3 linked regions of the Mus musculus genome follow. The protein of the gene in region 2 interacts with the protein of the main gene of each other region in a pairwise test. Links are inferred from orthologs where the notes say so. Each region holds a gene or a part of one and is shown on either strand. Other genes may lie near its edges. The genes, in order: Bend7, Psmf1 and Fbxo7.

What was found.
Region 1: the proteins of Psmf1 (region 2) and Bend7 interact in a two-hybrid assay, tested with the Homo sapiens proteins (2 studies listed by BioGRID and IntAct). The two-hybrid records come from large-scale screens. The link is inferred for Mus musculus from reciprocal best matches to the Homo sapiens genes PSMF1 and BEND7.
Region 3: the proteins of Psmf1 (region 2) and Fbxo7 interact in binary tests that used the Homo sapiens proteins (3 or more experiments, as listed by UniProt). The link is inferred for Mus musculus from reciprocal best matches to the Homo sapiens genes PSMF1 and FBXO7.

What each region holds. Positions count from the first base shown.
Region 1 is NC_000068.7:4,752,241-4,755,890, reverse strand, and holds part of Bend7 (BEN domain-containing protein 7), read right to left. Parts: intron 3,172-3,650; coding exon 2,900-3,171; intron 1-2,899.
Region 2 is NC_000068.7:151,717,255-151,720,904, forward strand, and holds part of Psmf1 (proteasome inhibitor PI31 subunit), read right to left. Parts: intron 3,623-3,650; coding exon 3,569-3,622; intron 2,390-3,568; coding exon 2,231-2,389; intron 1,432-2,230; coding exon 1,380-1,431; 3' UTR 1-1,379. UniProt on the Homo sapiens protein: Plays an important role in control of proteasome function. Inhibits the hydrolysis of protein and peptide substrates by the 20S proteasome. Also inhibits the activation of the proteasome by the proteasome regulatory proteins PA700 and PA28.
Region 3 is NC_000076.6:86,028,321-86,031,970, reverse strand, and holds part of Fbxo7 (F-box only protein 7), read right to left. Parts: intron 2,963-3,650; coding exon 2,735-2,962; intron 1,044-2,734; coding exon 902-1,043; intron 1-901. UniProt on the Homo sapiens protein: Substrate recognition component of a SCF (SKP1-CUL1-F-box protein) E3 ubiquitin-protein ligase complex which mediates the ubiquitination and subsequent proteasomal degradation of target proteins and plays a role in several biological processes such as cell cycle, cell proliferation, or maintenance of chromosome stability.

The sequences.
Region 1 (3,650 bases), about 150 Mb from region 2:
GAGTCAAGTTGCTGGTAAGAGCTCGTCACTCACCTCCTTCCCAAAACCAAACCCAGGCCTGAGCTTTGCCCTCAGCAAGCAGCCTGTCCTCACGGACCTCCCTTCACTTTAAGGCTTCCCACTCTTGCCTGGTTAACCAGAGGGAGCTTTTGGCTTTCTGCCTAAACTCTAGTAGAGCGGTTCTCAACCTTCCTAAGGCTGGGACCCTATAATACAGCTCCTGATTGCTGTGATGACTCTCAACCATAAAATTATTTTTGCTGCTACTTCATAACTATAATTTTGCTACTGTTACGAATCCTAACGTGACTATCTGATATGCAGGATCTCTGATATGCGACTCCTGTGAAAGGCACAGCCGGCTCCCGAAGGGGTCTCGACCCACAAGTTGAGAGCCATTGATCTAGCTTCTCCCTCTTCATCTGTCTCTCACTCATAACGGACTCCAGGCCCCACCCTCACAGGCAGATTGTTCCTCTGCTGAACCCTACACCAGCGGCTCCTCTGTGCCCCCAGACGAAGATGGACTGTATCTCACGGGCAGCATCAAGGTCTTCTCTCCTGGAAGCATCCTGCTTTTCCCCAAAGCCACTCAGCTATTTGAGAAACAACAGACAAACTGCCCAACACTACCACTGAAGGCCTCTGAACACTGCAGACTTTTCAGAGGCCCTTTTCTTTTCTTTCTTTTTTTCTTTTCTTTTCTTTTCTTTTCTTTTCTTTTCTTTTCTTTTCTTTTCCTCTCTCTCTCTCTCTCTCTCTCTCTCTCTCTCTTTTCTTTCTTTGAGACAGGGTTTCTCTGTATAGCCCTGGCTGTCCTGGAACTCACTCTGTAGACCAGGCTGGTCTCGAACTCAGAAATCCACCTGCCTCTGCCTCCCGAGTGCTGGGATTAAAGGCGTGTGCCACCACGCCCAGCTCAGAAGCCATTTTCTAATGCAAAACTCCTATCTCCCTGTGTTTTCTCCAACTTGTTTTATAGGAAAATTGCTGTAAAAATTAGAAGAATTATTCCCTATAGACTTCCATTAAACATTTTATAGCCTCATAGCTAAGAAATACTAGAAGATTAGAAAGGGACCTAAGTTGGAGGTCCCTTGAGCAGAGAGAGTCCATTTTTCTGGAGTCAAGCCCACTTCTCGTCCCAGGAACTGCTCCGGCCAGCCTGACAGACACCTATGAGCACAGCCCATGGAAAGCATTTTTGCAGCTCATCCTGGGACTCAGTGTTAAGTTCTCTATGTGAGGTTCTCAGCTCACTCATGTACTGAAGAGGTAAATTAAATGGTGGTGTAATGGGTACTGTAAAGATGACATGCCCACAGCTTTCCCACCCTTTCCTTACAATCATACTATCATTTAATAATCATTTTTGGTAAGAAGTACCAGAGTCAGCCATGAATAAAATGTAAACTGTTTGTATGTATTACATAAATAAATACTGATGTTGGTAAAACTAATAAAAATTCTATTCTATTTTGCAAATATACACAGGGTCTTTACCACACCTCCAATTTATTGATAAAATACACTTGAATCTTAACAATAAAAGGGTAAAATTCAGTTGTTAGTGGCACTAGACACATCTACACAGCAGATGATCTACAGTCTGTTCTAATATACCAATGCCTAGCAGAAAAGAATTTTAAGAAATTTAAGGAAAACATGACAGTTTATCAAAAACAGCCTAGCTGTACTTTATAATATTTTGTAATTATTATAGAATAATTTATCTGTTTTCAAATATATGATTCACCTAGGGTTTGAACCAGGCTTTAGCTGTTGTGATAACAAAATACGATCAAACAAGGGAGCTGGTCACACAACCAAACTTCACTACCAAAAGGATTTTGTAAATTAAATATTAGTTTAGAAGAGTTTAATGGCTTTAGCACACACGTATTATTAAAACAAATGCCTCTTTTAACAGTAAAGGTTTGGTGAAAGTGCAAAGAATTTTCTAGATTGAAAACATAGTGAGATGATTCTTTTCATTAAAAGCCCAAATGTAGATAAATGCTAGCAAACTGCCTTCCTCTCATGATACTTACAGAAATCAGCAATTGTTTCCTATTTAAAGTTCAGGAGGCAGGGAGAAACTCCAATCCTATAGGAGTCTGTGGGAGCGCTCGGCAGGAGCCTCACCCTATGCAATCTGGGAACAATACATCACTTTTTCCTGTTTATTTTAAGAACTCTGACAACAAGTTGGGATTCACAACGTAAAGGTACTCTAGATAAAGATATTGTAAATAGAGTATGCAGCTGCAAATTCAGCACATTATGACAGAAATTCATTTATGGGCCCATGAATATAAAACAGCATGTCAGATGGATATCTCGGATGCAATCTACCGTCCCAGACTGCAACATCATTCAGGCCGTGATATTAAAATAGCAAACCTTTGCAGAGCGTTAACCTATCATTACACGGAGTAAATGGCATGGCACTGCCACCTAATTAGCAGTGTGGCTTGCATCTATAAAACAGAATTAGCACCGCTGCTCCTTTCTTATTTTTAGTTTGTGTTTCCACAAAGGTATGACCTTATCTGTAAGCTTCTGTTCATTTATGCCCGTCTACAAAGGATTTAATTATATTCTCTTAGTTTTCTACATTGAGGAAATTGAAAACTGCCACTTGGAAATTAAAAATCGTAGAGAAATTAGCGAGCAGATTATTTACAACACACCCCTCTCCTTTCTGAGATAAGAAGTGGGATGTCTGTGAACAAGGAAGGCTCACATTTTTCCGGTTCTTACCAGTCTCCTCCTCTTCCTCACATGCATGCCTCTCTTCTTGTTTGGGGCAGAACTAGTTAGGTGGAAAGAGTCTTAATACTACAAGGTTCCTGAAACTTCTATCAACCAGGTTGGCAGCCAGAACATATCAACTTACATCTGAGGACGGCGATTCCAGAACAATGCCAAATCCCAGGACGTGGTTCTCCTCGGTGGAGGTGCGCTCTGCAGCTTGGAGACCTGGTGGCCTTGTGGCCGAGGCTGCTGGCTTCTTCTCAGTTTCCAAGGGACTGGGCTTTGGTTCCACAGCCGTCACAGGTTGCACAGTCTTCGGAAGCACTTTTTTCTTTTTATTTCTCTTGCGTGAGACGGCGGTTCGCTGGGAGCACATAAGGGAAATTGGGGGTTGTTGTCTGTTTTGAGTTCCAACTGTGGACAATAAACACAAATATGGTACAGGCACTTGTGTCTGAGGAAAATCTACCCTGGCCTGTCTCTGCGATATACACGCTGACTCTGAGGCTTGGCTCCCTCAGGATGAAGAACAGATAGATATATCTCACTCAGCACCTTAAAGTCCTAACAGCAGAGTGTTTCTCACCAGGAGAAACAGCTCTGAATGTACTGGATCATCAGACCGGTACAGCAGCCTGGCTTCGATGGAAGGAAAGGGTTAAGAGCTATGGCTTCATGGTCATGTGGCAGGTTTGAAGGAGAACCCCAGAACATAAATCTAAGTATAGATGCTCATGCTCTCTGGTAAGCCCATCCTAGCAAAAGCCCTAATGTCTCTGGAGTTCAGCTGATCAGTTACAGCCTACAAGGACACGATGATGATGATCTGGGCAAGACTGGTTGAAAGAAACAGTTTGGAAGAAGTCTATCTAGAACAGGGCTAGGTGGGTAAG
Region 2 (3,650 bases):
CCAAACATCCACCTGCCAGCCCTCAAGGATGAAGTTGATGCACAATGGACGTCTTGTCCTTGTCTCTGCATGGTCTGTGGCCTCAGAGCACAGAATGGCCTACACCTTCAAGGTGGTCAGTGCCTGACCCATGGGATCCTTCAACAGCTAGGGAGCCTGCTCATGCTGGATTGAGCCCCAAGCCCAGCCTCCCTGAGACTGGCCCTGGTCCTGTCAGTCCAGTCTATCTCCCCATCTATCCTGGAGCCACACATGGTTGGGCTGCCGGCCATGGAACGAAGCGCTTGGTACTTGATTTGGTGTCTCCTGGAACAGTACGCCATTGTGCTCTTCCAGCTTTATGGCACAGGGGTAGAGCACTGCCAGTGCCTGTCAGCTGGGGCTTCAAATATCTAGATAATTCTACAGATTGGGAGAGCTTGGACACAGGCTTCCAAAGACAAAGGCTCCCCTTCCTCCTGGCTGGACCCATGTTCCTATGCTCTTGTCAGTCCCAGGAGGACATGAAGAGCAGGTAATAGACACAGCGTACCTTCGTTTTCTCTTCTCTAGTACCTAGGGCTATTCCCATCCACACAGCTCACTACAGAGCTCCAGTGAAGGCACCTCTGATTTCACAGGTCGTTACTAGGCTCCTAAGAGAAAGGACTTCTTTAGGGTCACTATGAAACTAGCCTACAGGTCTGTTCTGTTTATTCCTCTACTTACAGGCCACTGCAGCCCAGGGAGAGTCAACAGGCTGCTCAGAGCAACTGGTTGAGCATGCCCTTGGGAGGAGATGGCAGTTTTTCTAGTGTGCCTGCTTTGGTGAAATCATCCTTGTGGCTCATGGATTCCAATCACACTTCCACCCAGAAAGCCTGGGTGGGGCTCATCTTAGTGATGTCAGGAGCAAGAGTAACTTGTGACTCGAGGGTGCTTGAGAAGAATGCCCTGTAGGAATCCCGTAGTCCTATGCAGTATCACACTCTTAAGAGTTTGTGCATTAACAAAAAGGAGCGTGGAAGACTGGCAACATGTATTCTGTATTGACATTTGGTTCTTAATAATAACATCCAAAATGCGTTCTGTTCTTATAGCGCTGTGACCGCGACTGCATCGGGTGGAGGGCTGATGTTGCCGGAGTCTTCCTTGCAAGTGGGGAGGAGCTGGTGATTGAGACACACTAATTTCTCCGTGGGACCTATATGCAGCTTGGTGGGGTGCTGCAGCAGGCACCTCGGCTCTGACAAGGGCTGGGGATGCAACCCCAGCAGGCCTGCAAACACATGGGCAGAATCCTCTGCCCCAAGCCCACAAGAATACTGACGCTGATGGGGCCAGTGGTGGCAGCTCCTGGAGAGTAAAAGGGAGGCTGAGCTGTTACATTCTTGAGGCCTTCACAGGTACATGTCATCGTAGCCCGGTGGGGGAAGATGGTCAGGGTTAGGTCTGCAATGTAAAGAGGGTCTAATGAATTGGAGAATGAGGCTGAGTACGCAAGAAACATGCCCCGTATGGAGGAGGCCCACAGAGTGACATGGAGTTTAAGATCATGAACTCTAGGGCCAGATGGCCTGGAACTAAATTTTACCATGGCTTAAACACCCAGTCTCCTGGCCTTGCCCTTCTCATCTATAAAAGAACTATTGACATAAGCATTTCTTCTCCTGTGTTGTCCTTGCAGGGTCAATAGCGTGCTGGACAGTTTTACATAAAGTTGATACAAATTATAGTCATCTGAGAGGGGGAACTTTGATTGAGAGAACATGCCTCCACAAGATCAGACTACAGGCAAGCCTGTAGAACATTTCCTTAATTGATGGGGGAGAGCCCAGCCCACTGTGACTGGGGCCACCCATGGGCTGGTGGGTTCTGTAAGAAAGCAGGCTGAGCAGGCCAGGGAGAACAAGCTAGCAAGCAGCACTCCTCCATGGCCTCTGCACCAGCTCCTGTCTCCAAGTTCTTGCTCTCTTCGAGTTCCTGTCCTGACTTCTTTTAACGATGAACCCGTGATATGGAGTCAAATAAACTCTCTCCCAAGATCCTTTTTGTTCATGGTGTTTCATCACAGCAATGATAACTCCAACTAAGACACCAAGGGAAGAAGGTGAGGAGAGACCCCCTAGGCCTCCAGGGAGGCAGCATGGCAGCTGTGCCTGGAGTCAGATACCTCGGCTGCAGTGCTGGACTAAGCTAAGCGGAGCTGCCATCAGGTCCCACCTCTCAGCATACCTGAGTGAATACCTACCCAGATGGGCTGGTCCCAATGGGTCCAAAGGGGTCAAAGCGAGCTCCTGGGGGCACAGCACCAGGAGGAAGCCGGTTTGGGAGGCCTGAGGATGGGTCAATAAGTACTCTTGGGAAGCCGGATCTCAGGGGATCCACAATCATGCCACCTCTCTGACACCTGAGACAGGAAGGAAGCTGGGTAAGCAGGTGTTACAGAGACTACTGCCCTTGAAGAAGAGAGACAGGCATATAGTGAATAAAAATTGACCAGCATGACTACTCTAGAAGTCCAGGAAGACAGGAGAGCAAGTCAGAGTGAACAAGAATACAAAGAGCACACAAAGTTGTGCACCACTGGAGCCAAAGGGCCTGCAGCAGCAGAGGAAGTTCTGTAAGGATTCCGTGAGCCCACAGGACAGAGATCTCTGACACATCTTACATTTAGTAAGATCAACTGGTCAAGAACCAGAGCTAGAATTGGCCAGGATCAATACAGAACTCTCCAGCTCTGCAGAGTTTATCCTAAGTCTAGGAGTAATAGCGTCAATACCATGATGAGGGTTTGCTATTTTCTTTTTCTTTTTTTTTTTGGTTTTTCAAGACAGGGTTTCTCTGTATAGCCCTGGCTGTCCTGGAACTCAATTTGTAGACCAGGCTAGTCTTGAACTCAGAAATCCGCCTGCCTCTGCCTCCCAAGTGCTGGGATTAAAGGCGTGCGCCACTACCGCCTGGCCGAGGGTTTGCTATTTTCTTAAGGGCCTCAGCACAGCTGCTAACTGCCTGTGGGTTGCCCAAGCCTGGCTCCTGCCATTCTCTGTCCCTCACTGAGTTCCACAGACCTGACTTCATGCACTCAAGCTGAGATAAATAGGCTTACATGCTGAGGTCACTGTCTGAGCCGCTCTGAAGAGTTAAGTGAGTCCTATGATCTAAAACTGAGATGCTAAAAGTGGGGTCACTCTTCAGCAGGAGTTAAACCTCATCTGACTCACTCAGAGAACACTGCAGAGCTGAGGGTACAGAACCTCTGCTGGATACAGGATGAGAATCAGAGGATACTCCCTTTGTGGAATGAGGTAACCACTAAATAGCCTGAGCTGTTACTCTACAGCCTGTGGCCCATTGTGTGGTTTTCCTTTTGCATCCTTATGACTCTTGCCCAGGAGGGTCCCAGGTCTTTCTCTGAACTGCTCTGGGTATGGCAGACCACAGAAAGTAGCAGTGACTCCTCAGCCACTCATCACTACCTCCTTCACTCCAAAGGGAGGGGAGGCTGACGAAAGCTCTAAAATGGGATGAGCTGGGCTGCAAGCCACTAAGCAAATTATACTGTTGCTGCCTCCCCAGAAATACTCACCCAAAAGGGTCTAGGTCATCTCCCCCGACAGCAAATGGGCTCAGGGGATCACGCCTGAAACAAACAAGGACAATTACCACAA
Region 3 (3,650 bases), on a different chromosome or scaffold from region 2:
CTGAGAAGATCATCTCAGAAAGTAAACAGTGTTAGCCCAGTTAGGTGGTACACACCCACAACCCCAGAACTTGAGAGACAGAGACAGAAGAACCACAAGTACAAGGCCAGCTTCAGCTACATAAAGAATTTGAGTTCAGTTTGGGCTATACAGACCCAATTTCAAAAGTATAAAAATAAAACAAAAGATCAGAATGAGATGTAAAATCCTGGTCACCCAAATGGATCTCCTACTGTGAGATCATGAGAACATTCCAGAAACCAGTGGTGGTTGGGAAAGACCTGTGTGACATCATGACTAACATGAAATGCAACCACAGGTTAAGACTTAAAGAAGTAAATAAAAAGAGACATTCACAGACATGCACAAAAGAACACTCTTCTAAGTTTCTACACAGTAAAACTCATTTTATTTCTATTACCACAGCTCTCACAGAACCAAGTGTTCAAAAAATGAGACATCGCAAGAAAGAGCTGAGGCTGGAGAGGTGGCTCAACGGTTAGTTATAGGCACTGGCTGTTCTTACAGAGGAGCCTAGTTCAATTCCGAGCACCCACATGGCAGTTCGCAGCATCTGTAACACCAATCGCAGGGGATCTGACACCTCTTCTGGCTTCCACAGGCACCACATGCATGTGATGATGCACAGACAGATAGGGAAAACACTCAAAACGTAAAATAAAAACAAACGGTCAAAAAGAAAACAAGGGGGCTACCCTGAGAGTGAAGGGTGCTGTTCTAAACCAACATCCTCGCATTTGAAATCTTTCAGGCATATGTCATCAGTGGTATAGGAATTAAGTTGTGAACGACTCGGACAGACACTCAAGTGGCTACAGAATGTTTATAAAGAAACTACTTAATTCATAAGGCAGCAACCATGACTGCTCCGTCCCATTACCATTTATAATGATTAAGTTTCCCAAAGGCACACAGGTAAGCACGGCAAAGCCGCCCTCGCAGAGAGGATGTGTGTACTGCAGTTTGTATACACCACTTGACTTCCACTTCTCAGGCATTGTCACTGCTTTGGTTTCAGTTCCCTGAAGAATGAAAGGAAAGGAAAAATAATGAAGAAAGGCGTTGTGTTGAAAAACCTGAAAGTCAGTTAACACCCCTAACTTACTGTGCAACACAGCCCCCCTTAAGCTACCGACGAGGCTCAGCAGATAAAGTGCTTTGTCACAGAAGCCTGATACTCAAGGTGAGCCACAGAAAGGTGAAGGCAGACAACCAACTCCACAGATCTCTGCTGACTGCCACACATGCTACATGGTATGCACACGCCCCACAGACACACACCTCACACATTTTTATAAAGACGCATAGCCTCAACATAATATGCACATCATTAACACTAAAGGAGGATAATATTTTTCTATCAAAATATTCATTTTAATAGATAAGATGACATCATAGAAATAAGGCTTAATTTTTCTCTTCTAAGGCTCACATTTTCTACCTAGTAAAGACATACCATTACTCAAGACTGCAGGGTGAATAGCACTTCCTTCATACAGCCCTTTTTAGAAAAGTTATTTTCTAACATTTACTCACATTTCTATCACTGCATATTTATTATTCTTTGTCAATTTACACTGTTATTTGTAATATGCCATATTTGTCTGGTCTTTTGTGCTCCTTTGTGAACTCTGAGAAATGTGTGCACAGGCGTTCCCTGATCCTGGGTTACTCTCCATCTTTGTGCTCTATCCATGGCCACAGGGAACATGTACAGGCCAGCAGCGCAGGGGTCAGGCCAGAGTATGCAAGAAGCCCAGCTCTATCCTCAGCTTACAAGTCAGAATCTCGGCTCTAATACGGTCCCATGGATTCCCAGCTCCACTCTAACTCTTCATCCAGAGTCCCTGGCACTCTGGATGTGTAAGTGTCTCTCCTAGAACTTACACATTATACTATAATGGTCTAAATTCTTCTCTACTCTCAGACTAACAGTAACTTAAACAAAGACCTAAGACCAGGAACAGAAACAAGTCACTGAATTAGTAGATGCTTAACAAACCCATGCTGAATGACGATAAGCAACCACAGCACAAGCCTATGAACACGACACATTAATTAGTCAGCATCATTCATACTCAGTCCACACTGCCACACTTTATCTTGATATTATAGTATATAAAACCTTGTGTCTTTTTTTCCCCCCTTTTGGACCAGTTGCCATTATCTCTGGGCAATACTAAATGCTAACAAGGGAAATGATGGAAAAAGAAGGAATGCTGGAAAGGGCACATTTACTGAGTACCTGTGACAACTCCTCACTGTGTCTGACATTTTATATTCAAGAACCAATCACATTTAGTAAAGGAAGATAGACTATCACGATGCCCTTGTGAAGTACCCAGGGAGACATCATGACTTAGTTAGGGCTTTACTGCTATGAACAGACACCATGACCAAGGCAACTCTTATAAGGACAGCCATTTACTTGGGGCTGGCTCAGAGGTTCAGAGATTCAGTCCATTATCATCATCAAGACAGGAACATGGCAGCTACCAGGCAGGCATGGTGCAGGAGGAGCTGAGAGTTCTACATCTTCATCTGAAGGCCACTAAGAGAAGACTGGCTCCCATGTGGTTAGGAGGAAGGTCTCATTGCCCATCCCAACAGTGACACACTTCCTCCAACAAGGTCACACCTCCTGATAGTGCCACTCCTTGGGCCAAGCATATTCAAATCACCACACCTCCTAAGGTATTTGGGTTGCACTCACCTGAGGAATGTAGCCTGACTCGAGCATCAGGAGATGCACCAGCACTATCAAGGCATCACTGATGTTGGAGCAGCCAGCTGACTGGTACAGGGTCTCTAGAGAATGTGGTACCTGCCCATCCTCTGTTTCATTACAGAGCATTGGTTCCAATGGATGGAAACCAGAAACCTCTTCCATACTCATGGCATCCTGAATTGACTCAGCTTCAACATTTTGACTAGGCCCTTCCTAAAAAGGATAATAGATTCATTAATTTTACATAGGACATTTTATAACCTAAACTGAGCAGAGATTAGTGCTCAAAACAAAAGCCAGCATGAGGTTCAGATATAGGAAGCTCTTATAAATAAATGACACTGCAACCTACACCTCTGTCCTGAGTCCCATAACTCCAGGCTAAAAACATGGAGCTCATCGGTAAGTCTCCATACACTTACTAAACAGTACCTAATTGTGCTCATAGCTCCAACCACTACCATGCCCAGATCTCTCTAAAGCTGTACTTCCTGTGCCACTGTACCTCATACCCCCATTATGTGTCTCCTGAGTTCCAGGAACAGCACCTCCTCAGAGTGCCTGCCTCCCCTTCTTGTCTCATATACACCATGTACTCCTGCCAGTTACCCAAAGTTAAGGAGCCAATCACATCTTATGTCCCAGTTGAAAACTCAGGATTTCCTCAAGACAGGCAGTACTGTTTCCCACAATTGTACTTTAAGACTGTGTCCCTGAATGTTCTTAGAGAAAAATTGGTACAGAGTCAAGCAGAAAAACACTACATGCATGCTACGTCTGCCTAATCTAACCCTCTACATTCACAGGATCCGGTAATAACCTTATAAAAGCTCTGAGAGGTCTAAAAATAGGAGTCATGTGTTCATTTAACAAAAACGCATTTGCCTTCTTCCTCACACTT